Lepisosteus oculatus: one gene and its partner. The protein of the gene in region 1 interacts with the protein of each later gene in a biochemical or structural test. Links are inferred from orthologs where the notes say so. Each region holds a gene or a part of one and is shown in the gene's direction. Other genes may lie near its edges.

Region 1 (5,860 bases):
TAATCATATTAATGAAAAGGCATACACGCTATTAGCATGATTATTGGAGTTTATGCTCATATACATGCTTGTAGGTTATATTTAATCCGTCCTACATTTCCATAGGTAGTGATGACCCGTGGAGTTATTGTGAAATGAAACTTCCAGGGTCATGCGCTCAAATAGATCCCATTATTGATTAATACTGTAGGCTGTTAATTCCATCCACTCAATGTATATCCTAATATCTTAGTTAGTACAAGGAACATGGTCAGGGTGGCACTGTTCAGTACTTTTTCTCAGCTAAACTCTCTTTGACGTAAAAGTTGAATGACTTCCTTCGCTTTTCTTAAGATCTGAAGGTGATTCATTCATTTCTGTCCGTTTGCTGCTCGGGAGTAGAAATGCGTCTTTTTTATCCATTTTCACAGTCCTTGAGCTCACCTCGATCTCGTCTCGTTCTCTTTGTGGCAGCGTGACTATTTGAACAACAACAAGAGCCTAGGAACACTCGAGCAGAACAGAACGCAAAGAAATGGTTTGATTTTATCCTTCAATGCACTTTACACAACGAGCTTCCAAATCCCCTTTAGGTGATATTTCAGCCCTGTCCATGACAAATAAATTGGACCCTAAGGGGGAGATAAACCTGTTCTAGTCTACGTACTGTATCTACCTTTTCAGCTTGTAAATGTTTTCAAAGAGATAAAGTAAAACATGTTTCACATGTGAGTGGTCTAAAGTTAAGGTGGGGAGCTGCGTCAACATGCGTAGGCTGCAAAGGAACAATAATAGGTTATTCTTGGTCTAAAGTTAATCCTGGAGTTAAGAAATTGCATGATGTATACAAAAGATCTAAGAGGGCAGTGACCATGCAGTTTACTTTGTGGTGTGATTTTCTTTTCTTTGAACTGGAATTTCCGTTTTTGTCAAATCTGTCTGAGAGGAGCGATTCATCTGGTTCATTCCGATAACGAACAAGTTACACCGAGCCATGGCGGGCCAGTAGGGGTGCGCACCCTCTGATCTGTAACGGGGACACTATACTGTAAAAAAGGCGCCGACCTTCGGATGAGACATTAAACCGAGGTTCTGACTGTCTGTGGTCATTAAAAATACCAGGGCGTTTCTCGAAAAGAGTAAGGGTGTTACCCCGGCACCCTGGCCAAATTTCCCCCTGGCCTTTACCCATCATGGCCTCCTAATAATCGCCATCTCTGAACTGGCTTCATCACTCTGCTCTCCTCCCCACTGAGAGCTGGTGTGTGGGGAGAGTACTGGGGCGCTACGGCTGCCGTCGCATCATCCAGGTGGGGCTGCACACTGGTGGCCCCAATCACCTGTAAAGCGCTTTGAGAGAGTTAATACTAATGTCATCCGAGAGGGGATGGTGTTACAGGTTTCTCCTGCAAAGTGCACTTTGCCCCATGTAACAGCTCACTTTGGATTACACGATGACACACAGGACTGTTACTTGGCTGTGCTTTACCAATTTCTTTTCCAGTCTTGCCCCTGAGCAGCCCTCGCCTCTTCACTGCTGTATATTATAGTATATTAGTGCTCTAGTGTTACATAAATCCTCATTTTCGTCTCCGACGCAGTGCGCCATAGTCTGTGCTTTGCGGGCTCCCAGTATTGATTTGCTCTGCATTTCGAGCAAGAGAAAAATCCCCCACTGCAACGGATGTAAATAGAACCGTTTCATCGTCCGGCACCTTCAAAAGAACAGACATCACCGGCCCCTTTGATCTCCGTTGCCTACCTACAGTAGGTACCTTATTTCAGGACTGGGATATGTTTCACGTGTGCCGCCTCTGTCCTCAAACTTCCCCGCGGTGACGTTTGCCCCTCCCCAGGGCCCAGCGTGTGTCTGTCGCAAGTGCGGGATCCAGAACAGAGAGAGGGACCGGATTGTTCTCCTCAATGCCCAGCAATTCAGATCAGCATCAAAGCCCGAACCCGGGCTTGAGCAGCCCGCCCGAGTCGCCCAGCTGGGTGAGTTCAGGACCTCCCTCGCGTTCAGGGTATTCAGAGTAACCAGAGAAACAAGCTAAGTCTAAGCAGGAAAGCAGGTTACTTAAGTCAGCAAATAGCACTGGAGATGCAGAGCTCAGCTAGAATCAAAATCAGAAGAACCAGGCCTTGGAAGAGCTGTTCTAGAAGAGACCTTTCTTTGAGAATCGCTCAATAAAAAAGCTGCTTTTAATTTCCATAAAAGTACGATTAAAAGTCAATTAAAAAAACGCATTACCTGCTTTGTGGCCAAGCTTTTGTTAAAACAAAATTGAGCAAGATGAAGAACACCTCATCACTGGGCAATACCAGCTCTCACCGTTCTATCGCAGTGCAAAGAAAACTACGTTTCCCAGAACGCCAAGCACGGTCCACGCTGGCGCACGCCGTCCCTGCGCCCCCTGGTGGCCGATGCCGATCATCGCAAGGATATCCCATTTATCCGACAAGAGCGGAGATCATCCTGTAGCCAAGCTGGGAGACAGCAGAGCCGAGGAAGAGGGGGAGGCGAGAAGCCGCGTTTCGTTAAGAAGGGAGACGGACAGCGTATAATCAATGAAGGTGCATGCAAAAATAACATAGCCATCGGGTCCAGACGTTGCAGTATCCAGCTAATAAAAAGATCAACGATTTTTTTGGGGGGTTGCCTTCATTTTATTGGCTGTGAGGGAGAATAGGCTATTCTTGCAAAGATGGGTAACCGAGGGATGGAGGATTTAATTCCTCTGGTAAATCAGCTCCAGGATGCCTTTTCTGCAATCGGACAAAATGCCAACCTGGATCTGCCCCAGATCGCCGTGGTCGGCGGCCAAAGTGCGGGCAAAAGCTCGGTTCTGGAGAACTTCGTTGGAAAGTAAGTGATTTTTTTTTTGTGGTATTTCGCTGCGTAAATAAGGTGACAGCAAGAGTGACCGTGGCCATACCGTGGTCTCCAAAAACCCACCCCTTTAAAAACGCATTGGGGAAAATAAAACAAATCGCGAGGCAGCTGTCAAATTCAATTCGCCTTTCAAGGGGGGAATTGCTCTTGAAGGGTTTCTGAATTTTCTCAAATCGATGAAATCCCTGTCAGCCATCGTCATAGCTAGGGGGCAAATATGAGGGGAGATTATTCCGTTACATAAACAGTGTGCACTGTCAGTGCTGTGGACATATTATACAATAGAAAGATACAACACATCAATCCAACCCGTATATTTCCTGGTACACATTTCGCCTGCTATTTTAGCTTATTTGTAACCAGTGTCAACGATTCTTTCTCTGTCCTATTGAGGTGCACTAATCCTAGTGGAGGTGTTTTTTTCCAAGCGTGTTTTCGAGCTCTCCTGATGGTGGAGGTTTTGACATTAAGGGGGTTATATCGATTTTTAAATGGCAGAACGTACCGCCGCTGATGGAGCGGGTTTGCGCTCGCCCTGTATTGTCCCTGTCGTCCCCCAAGATGAAAATGATTACTATTTTTTTGTTGTCGTTTCTGTCAGCCGCAGATTTGAAGCCGCTTGCGGGGGGTCGCCGGGGGCAGGTGACAGCGGCGCTCGCACGGTGATGCGATGAGAAATGCGCACGTAACCAGCCATCTATCAGAGAACTTCCCGGGCTCGAAACACAGCCCGTTCTTCCCCCCAATTGCAAGAATAAAAGATAGGGAACTGAGGGAGCGGAGTTCAGACCGGAAAAAAAATATGGCTGTTAAATAGTGCAGTCGGGATGTTCTAAAGTGGTATAAACATAATGTATTTAGCAATTCCATGCATTCACTTGATAATTTCCCAAGGATGTTTATTGAAGGGAGACGTCCCTGTTCAATATATCAAATATGCAGATGCGTGTAGCAGGAGAGCACCTTACCCCGGTGTGTGGAGCTCCGAGCTTGGTGTTATTTTTAGATCTCGCTGGTGCAGTTCAGTTGCGCTCTGGGGTGCTGTTTAGAGGACACGCACACCCCTACGAAATATTTAGAGCCATCGGCTATAGAACGGAGTGCGGTGTTTTTAAAACGAGCACAGCTGCCATTTTGTTGCACTTTTTTAGCAAGCGTCGAGCTAGCCCGGCGCGGTCCTGTGGTGTTGGTTCAGCTCTGACCTTCAGCGCATTGAAGAAGAGTTGGCGAGCTGCGGGTTGCAAGGAGAGAGCACACACACACATACAAGGCAGCTGTAGGGCGCTCTGTCCCTGTTCCCTGGACGGGTCCGCGCTGTGAAACGCGTCTTGCACACACCCGCGGTCGGTCTGTGGCTTTGCACGTTGCCGTGACCTTGTGTGGGAAGGATATCACCCCGGGGGCCGGTCCCAACGCGCGCACTGTACCTGGACTGCAGCATCCAGTGCGTTTGGCGAGGCCGGCCTGAACGCTCCTCTCCATCCCATGACAACGGAAACGTCGGGCTCCTTAAAGAATGTGTTTACCGTTTTGGAGGACTTTGTTTTTCACCCCCGGGAACCCTGATTTTAAACCCCTCCCATGCCACTACACCTATCTCCCGTCGCCCGCAAAAAAAACGTCTTCCAGCAGCTCCTCCTTTGTTTTTTGGAGATGCCCGGCCTACGTCGTGTCCGGTGTGGTTTTCCAGTTGTGACCGTGACAGCATCAAACTGTCCCATCTTACCTGTGATAACAACTTCATAATAATAATAATAATAATAATAATAATATTAATAATAATAATAATAATAATAAATGTCAATATTGCTTTTAACCTGTGCGCTACGTGTCTGTTCTTAATGAGTAAGGCTGTAGTCAGTTGCTAGGGTTCAGAGAGGTGTGTGTCACTCAGACAGTTCATCATACATGACTTACAAGCCACCTTTGAAGTCTTCCTATGTTGTCTGTTATCTTTTGAGCTTTTTTTATTATTCCTCATTTGCGTTGTGGATGTGATTGTTCATGATCATGAGTGTCTCAACCAGTATAGGTGCTCACTCTAGTGCCGCGGGTTCGAGTCACTAGTGGACTGTGTCTGCTAAGGGCAGGGTGCGATGAGTCGGTCAGGTCTCTAGTGGTTCTCGGCGACGCGCAATAAGCGCGGGGTACGCGCAGCCCTGCGGCGCTGCGGGTGATGGACACGCGTGTTGTCCAATCAGCGCCGTGCCTTTCAGACAGGAGGCCTGAAAGTGGGCGGGTTCGAGGAGTCGACACTTCCTGATTCGCTGAGCTGCGCGGTGGCGGTGCTCATACAGTAGCTGTGACTCGAAAAAGACTAGTCACACACCTGGCGATTCCAAATCGGGTCGGCATAACAAAATCTAATTGTACATTTGTTTTTTTTTAAAAAGCACAATTATGCCGCAAGTTTAAAGGGTCACTACTTTACAGGAGAATTCAGATCTCAGTTTTAATATCCGCACGAGGCACTGTATCATCGTATTGTTTATCTCCTGGAACTACAAGCAACTGTACGACCATCCATTTTCTAAACCCTTTATCCACCACAGGGTTGCAGGGAAGCCAGAGTCTATCAAAGCAAGCAAGGCAGGCTACCCCTTGGATGGGACGGCAGTCCATCACAGGGCAACACACAGACACACACTCGCACCAGAGCCCATTCATATATATTAATAATATCAATACAGATTAATACCGTATATTAAACTCTCAATATAGATACAAATATTTGGTGATGGCCTTTTTGGATGTGAAGGAGAGTACCCAAAAATGCAGATTATTTAAAACTGGTTTGAGTATAAATAGGATTCAATCCAATGTTTGACCAGTTTTCTTTGGAATGAGGAGTGCAGTATGGGGTGTGATCATGACAAATTATGTGGGAGGGAGTTTGCTCTCCGATCTCCTTCTGTCATTATAGTGAGACAAATCCCGGTGCACATGAAATACAATCCGGGCGTCACAACTCTAGTCTGATCTTGTCCT
Region 2 (5,860 bases), on another chromosome or scaffold:
GACTGAGGTTTCGTGCTTGCGGCTAAGAGTTCTTATTCAACTTCAAAATCTTCTTTCCAAAACTTTAAACTATTTTTAATTAAGCCGCTGCCCTCCCGAGCTCCCTCTCTGTCTCCCACTCTCAGAAGGCGCTAGGAGCTCGGAATTGGCGGGAGTCTCGCACTGACCCCAACAGCTTCAGCTGATTGGCCAGATGTCGGAAACTACCCAAGAGGGGGGCGGGGACTAGCCTATGATATCCTGAAGGCTATCCCCCCACGAATACGCCTCTTCAGGGAGCTCTCGATGCTCATTGGCAAGTACTTGGTTAGTCACGTCACTCTTAACTATAGTTCTGATATGTGATTGGTTCAAGGGACACTGGCACAGGTGCGTGACTGGCTCTGCGAAACTGTCGCTCAGAGAAGAGTAGTCGGCAGGAAAGGAGGTGATTTGCCAGGTGGTTAGAAAGCTACAGGAGGGTGGCCGCTGATTCGTGCGCGGACTTGTCAGGTTAAAATGAGGTGTTGCTAGGCAACCAGATTGGGTGCAGAATCTAGAGACAACGTTCACAGCTGGTATTGCAATCCTAACGGATAATACAAGCACACAGACATATTCAAGAACTAAACATAGGATTGTTATAAAAAAAAAATCAGAATCCATGAAACTGAAGGTTGGCTCCGCTGAAGTCTTCTGTGCTTAGCGTGGCTCTGCGGTTCCGCAGCCTTCCAGGAGGGGGAGACACAGCACCACACAAAATAACACAAAACAACAACACAATCTGCTTCCCCAGGACAAAACGTTTTTCTCTTTAACCTCTCTCTCATACAAATAAAAGGAAATATAAACTTCCACAACATGACAATTTTCTCTTTTTTTGCGATATACACATATAATAATGACCAGGAATGTGTTTTTCTCTACTGGAATCTGAAAAAAAGACATCAGAAGATCAGAGAGATATATAGAAAATAATATTGCAATGGGGTCTAAACCAATATATATTTTTTTAAATACAACAGCAAAAGAACAATTAAGGAGATTACAACATGAGAAACGTTTGGAAAATGGCTGATGGGAGAAATAAATAATAATAATAATTAATAATAATAATAATAATAATAATAATTGCTTACACTTATATAGCGCTTTTCTGGACACTCCACTCAAAGCGCTTTTCAGGTAATGGGGACTCCCCTCCACCATCACCAATGTGCAGCCCCACCTGGATATAAAAATAAAGATCATATCTTAGGATAGTACACAGAGAGTTCTCTGTACAGGGAGTACAGATAAGGGGTACATGTTCTGATTGGGGTGCTGGAATTAGCAAAGTACCCCTAATTTAACAGAATAAAAGGTTTTCTCAAGGTTAATGAATTTGAGGTTTCCGATATTCCAGTGAGTATTCCATGATTCTTCACAGTCTGAACTCTAGGTCCGGCCTGGAGCTCCTGGGCCCAGAATCGGCCCACTGTAGTCGTCTCTAAGATGCTGGCAGGTGGCAGCCCAGATGCATTCTGGGATGAGAAGTACAATGGCTTCACTCAGCACAGATCAAAGGTCAATACTGTTGTACTGCCCAGAGCCAGCTACTGCGGTCTGGAGGTCAGGCTGCCTTGCCTGTCCTCAGCGTCTCTGCAGTGGTGCTGTTGAACCTGCTGGTCTGCCAATCCTACATGCTGTGATGAGATGTTTCACCCCCATTTCAGTTACTGTGATATGGACATGTCCAGGTGATGTTGCAGATTATCACGGAGTGACGCGCTCAGTGCCGGCAATCCCATCCTCCTTCCCAATTCCTGATGGCACCTCAGTTCTCAACCTTACTAAACGAGCACTGGGGCTTCTGTTCACCATCCAGTGTTGATCATGGTGTCCAGTCTCACTGGTCCTGTCTGTGTCTGTGACAGTGTCCACTCTCACTGGTCCTGTCTGTGTCTCACCCAGTCCTGTCTGTGTCTGTGCTGGTGTCCAGTCTCACTGGTCCTGTCTGTGTCTCACCCAGTCCTGTCTGTGTCTATGCTGGTGTCCAGTCTCACTGGTCCTGTCTGTGTCTCACTGGTCCTGTCTGTGTCTGTGCTGTGTCCAGTTTTACTGGTCCTATCTGTGTCTGTGCTGTGTCCAGTTTCAATGATCCTGTCTGCGTTTATGCTGGTGTCCAGTCTCACTGGTCCTGTTTGGATCTCACTGGTCCTGTCTGTGTCTCACCCAGTCCTGTCCATGTCTATGCTGGCGTCCAGTCTCACTGTTCCTCTCTTGTTGCCACTGTTTGTTTTCCTGTAAACTTAATATAATTTAATCTTCTATTTTTTTCCTGTTATTTTCCTTAACCTCAGGAAATACCTGGTAGTTCCCCTGAAAACAAGGTAAAGTTTTCATCTCCAATCTGGAAATACAGAGTGTGAAAACCTTTTTTACATTGAAAATCTGGGAAATGATTTTTTTTTACAGTTTTTAAATCTAAAGATTTATTTGTCTAGTCAGGCTTTTAATTAGTGTTTGCCTCTTCTCCTTTTTTCACTTTTTTATCACTGTCTTTATCTCTGTTCAATGTTACTTTGATGTTTTACGCTGCAAACAGCCCCAAACACTGTGGGTGTACATGGGCACTAAAATTAACGCTTGTAAAATTCTCTCCCATACCGAAACTGCGCGTACCCGCTGCCCGCCTGGAACTGACTTCCTGGGCAGCAGGTGGCGCTGTGCGAACACAGAGGAGGTCGCCCCCCCCCACCGCCCCTCGAGGCTGCCCTGGAATGTCCGTCGGTCTGCGGCTGAACAGGAAGTCTCCGCGGTTGCCATGTAACTTCCTGCAGGGTCCTGGGAGTCCAAGAGACTGCAGGGCCGGGTGGGTTCCGCGCAGAGAGCGAAGGCTGGGTTATAACCGAGAGAACCGGGGCTCCGCCTTGCAGAGAGGAGCGATTCCGAGTCCAAGATGTCTGTGGCGGGGCTGAAGAAGCAGTTTTATAAAGCCAGCCAGGTCAGTGCACAATTTGCTGTTGTTGTTTTCGTTTTATTGCTATCTTGGTTGCTTAGTCTTTCTGTTAGTTGGCTTCGAGTTGTTGTTTTACACGTCAGCGCGTGTCTTGACGGTTTTGGGGTGACTCTTGTCGTGTCGTTACTGCCGGTTGTGTAACTCTTGTGTAGCGATAGTGTGTTGAAGCAGGTCCTTGGACGTCCAGAGAGTCGATTGACTCTGACTCGTCAACACGTTTCTGTCTGTGAGTATAACTGCGCCTCTGTCCGCACGCTTGCTTTTGGGATTTTGAGAGGCTAATTAAAATAGGAATAGTTATATAATATCTTAGGGAAATATGTGTAGTTTGAAGGACAGTTTGTAGCAACACGATTCTTAAAGTAATTGTTATTTTTTTTTCCTGGGACTGTAGCCCCTAGTGTGTTCTACTGGACTGGGACTGTAGCTCCTATTGTGACATGGCTGTCCTACTGTACTGAGACTGTAGCCCCTAGTGTAACAGGATTGGTCAACTGCACTGGTATTGTAGCCCCTATTGTAGTGGGACTGTTCTACTGGACTGGGACTGTTGCCTGTATTATAACAGGACTGTCTTGCTGGACTGGGACTGTAGCCCCTAGTGTAATAGGATTGCTCTACTGGACTGGGACTAGCTTCTATTTGTAATAGGACTGTCCTATTGGACTGGGACTGTAGCCCCTAGTGTAACACGATTGGTCTACTGCACTGGAACTGTAGCTCCTCTTGTAACAGACTTCTGCTGGACTGGGACTGGTCTACTGCATTGGGACTGTAGCCCCTAGTGTAACAGGACTGTTGTGCTGGACTGGGACTGTATCCCCTATTGTGACAGGACTGTCCTGCTGCACTGGGACTGTAGCGCCTAAGGTGACAGGACTGTCCTGCTGCACTGGGACTGTAGCGCCTATTGTAACAGACTTCTACTGGACTGGGACTGGTCTACTGCATTGGGACTGTAGCCCCTAGTGTAACAGGACTGTTGTGCTGGACTGGGACTGTATCCCTTATTGTGACAGGACTGTCCTGCTGCACTGGGACTATAGCGCCTAAGGTGACAGGACTGTCCTGCTGCACTGGGACAGTAGCGCCTATTGTAACAGACTTCTGCTGGACTGGGACTGGTCTACTGCATTGGGACTGTAGCCCCTAGTGTAACAGGACTGTCCTGCTGCACTGGGACTGTATCCCCTATTGTGACAGGACTGTCCTGCTGCACTGGGACTGTAGCGTCTAAGGTGACAGGACTGTCCTGCTGCACTGGGACAGTAGCGCCTATTGTAAAAGACTTCTGCTGGACTGGGACTGGTCTACTGCATTGGGACTGTAGCCCCTAGTGTAACAGGACTGTTGTGCTGGACTGGGACTGTATCCCCTATTGTAACAGGACTGTTATGCTGGACTGGGACTGTATCCCCTATTGTGACAGGACTGTCCTGCTGCACTGGGACTGTAGCGCCTAAGGTGACAGGACTGTCCTGCTGCACTGGGACAGTAGCGCCTATTGTAACAGACTTCTGCTGGACTGGGACTGGTCTACTGCATTGGGACTGTAGCCCCTAGTGTAACAGGACTGTCCTGCTGCACTGGGACTGTATCCCCTATTGTGACAGGACTGTCCTGCTGCACTGGGACTGTAGCGCCTAAGGTGACAGGACTGTCCTGCTGCACTGGGACAGTAGCGCCTATTGTAACAGACTTCTGCTGGACTGGGACTGGTCTACTGCATTGGGACTGTAGCCCCTAGTGTAACAGGACTGTCCTGCTGCACTGGGACTGTATCCCCTATTGTGACAGGACTGTCCTGCTGCACTGGGACTGTAGCGCCTAAGGTGACAGGACTGTCCTGCTGCACTGGGACAGTAGCGCCTATTGTAACAGACTTCTGCTGGACTGGGACTGGTCTACTGCATTGGGACTGTAGCCCCTAGTGTAACAGGACTGTCCTGCTGCATTGGGACTGTATCCCCTATTGTGACGGGACTGTCCTGCTGCACTGGGACTGTAGCGCCTAAGGTGACAGGACTGTCCTACTGCACTGGGACTGTATCCCCTATTTTGACAGGACTGTCCTACTGCACTGGAACTGTATCCCCTATTGTGACAGGACTGTCTAACTGGACTGGGACTGTCCTACTGCACTGGGACTGTAGCTCCTATTGTAACAGACTGTTCTACTGCACTGGAACTGTATCCCCTATTGTAACAGGACTGTCTTACTGGACTGGCACTGTCCCACTGCACTGAGACTGTAGCTCCTATTGTGACAAAACTGGTCTACTGGACTGGGACTAGCTCCTATTTGTAATAGGACTGTCCTATTGGACTGGGACTGTAGCTCCTATTGTAACAGGACTGTTCTACTGGACTGGTACTGTAGCGCCTAATTATACTGAATTTCATTCTCCCACAGTCCCACAGTCCTTGTCAGGTTATCGTTTTGTTCTGACCTACCTGGAGAACTGCTCTTAGCATTCATCTGAAAGTAGATCTCGTGAACAGTTTCTAGTAATTCTGTACCTGTGGTGTCATTTGCACAAGTGTTTAGAAAGGTTAATGATGCATGTTGTTATTTTGTCTAGTGTGTATGTGCTGTTGGGGCCTTGATGGTGTTAAGTTACCCTACGCAAGTGCATCATTGACATTTCTTATTATAAATATTATGCATGAAATATTCCCCATCAGAAGAAGCTGAACTTTGGTTATATATTTAATTTGAGTTACTGATGCGTGGAAGATTGTGATTCCTAGGAATTAATTGGCAGAGCACACTTGGGAATTCTTATTTACAGGGTAAGGTTAAGGTCTGATAATGTCCACATTCCTGCTTCAGACCTGTTATTCCGCAATACGGGCTTATAAAGAAGAGTGAACCACATC

Evidence for each region. The genes of interacting proteins can lie anywhere in the genome.
Region 2: the proteins of dnm1a (region 1) and sh3gl1b form a complex in vitro, tested with the Homo sapiens proteins (2 studies listed by BioGRID and IntAct, with this or other methods). The link is inferred for Lepisosteus oculatus from reciprocal best matches to the Homo sapiens genes DNM1 and SH3GL1.

The regions. Positions count from the first base shown.
Region 1 is NC_090719.1:12,811,047-12,816,906, forward strand, and holds the start of dnm1a (dynamin-1a), read left to right. Parts: upstream 1-2,419; 5' UTR 2,420-2,684; coding exon 2,685-2,845; intron 2,846-4,299; exon of another isoform or gene 4,300-4,460; intron 4,461-5,860. UniProt on the Homo sapiens protein: Catalyzes the hydrolysis of GTP and utilizes this energy to mediate vesicle scission and participates in many forms of endocytosis, such as clathrin-mediated endocytosis or synaptic vesicle endocytosis as well as rapid endocytosis (RE).
Region 2 is NC_090724.1:9,724,831-9,730,690, reverse strand, and holds the start of sh3gl1b (SH3-domain GRB2-like 1b), read left to right. Parts: upstream 1-2,736; 5' UTR 2,737-2,920; coding exon 2,921-2,965; intron 2,966-5,860. UniProt on the Homo sapiens protein: Implicated in endocytosis. May recruit other proteins to membranes with high curvature.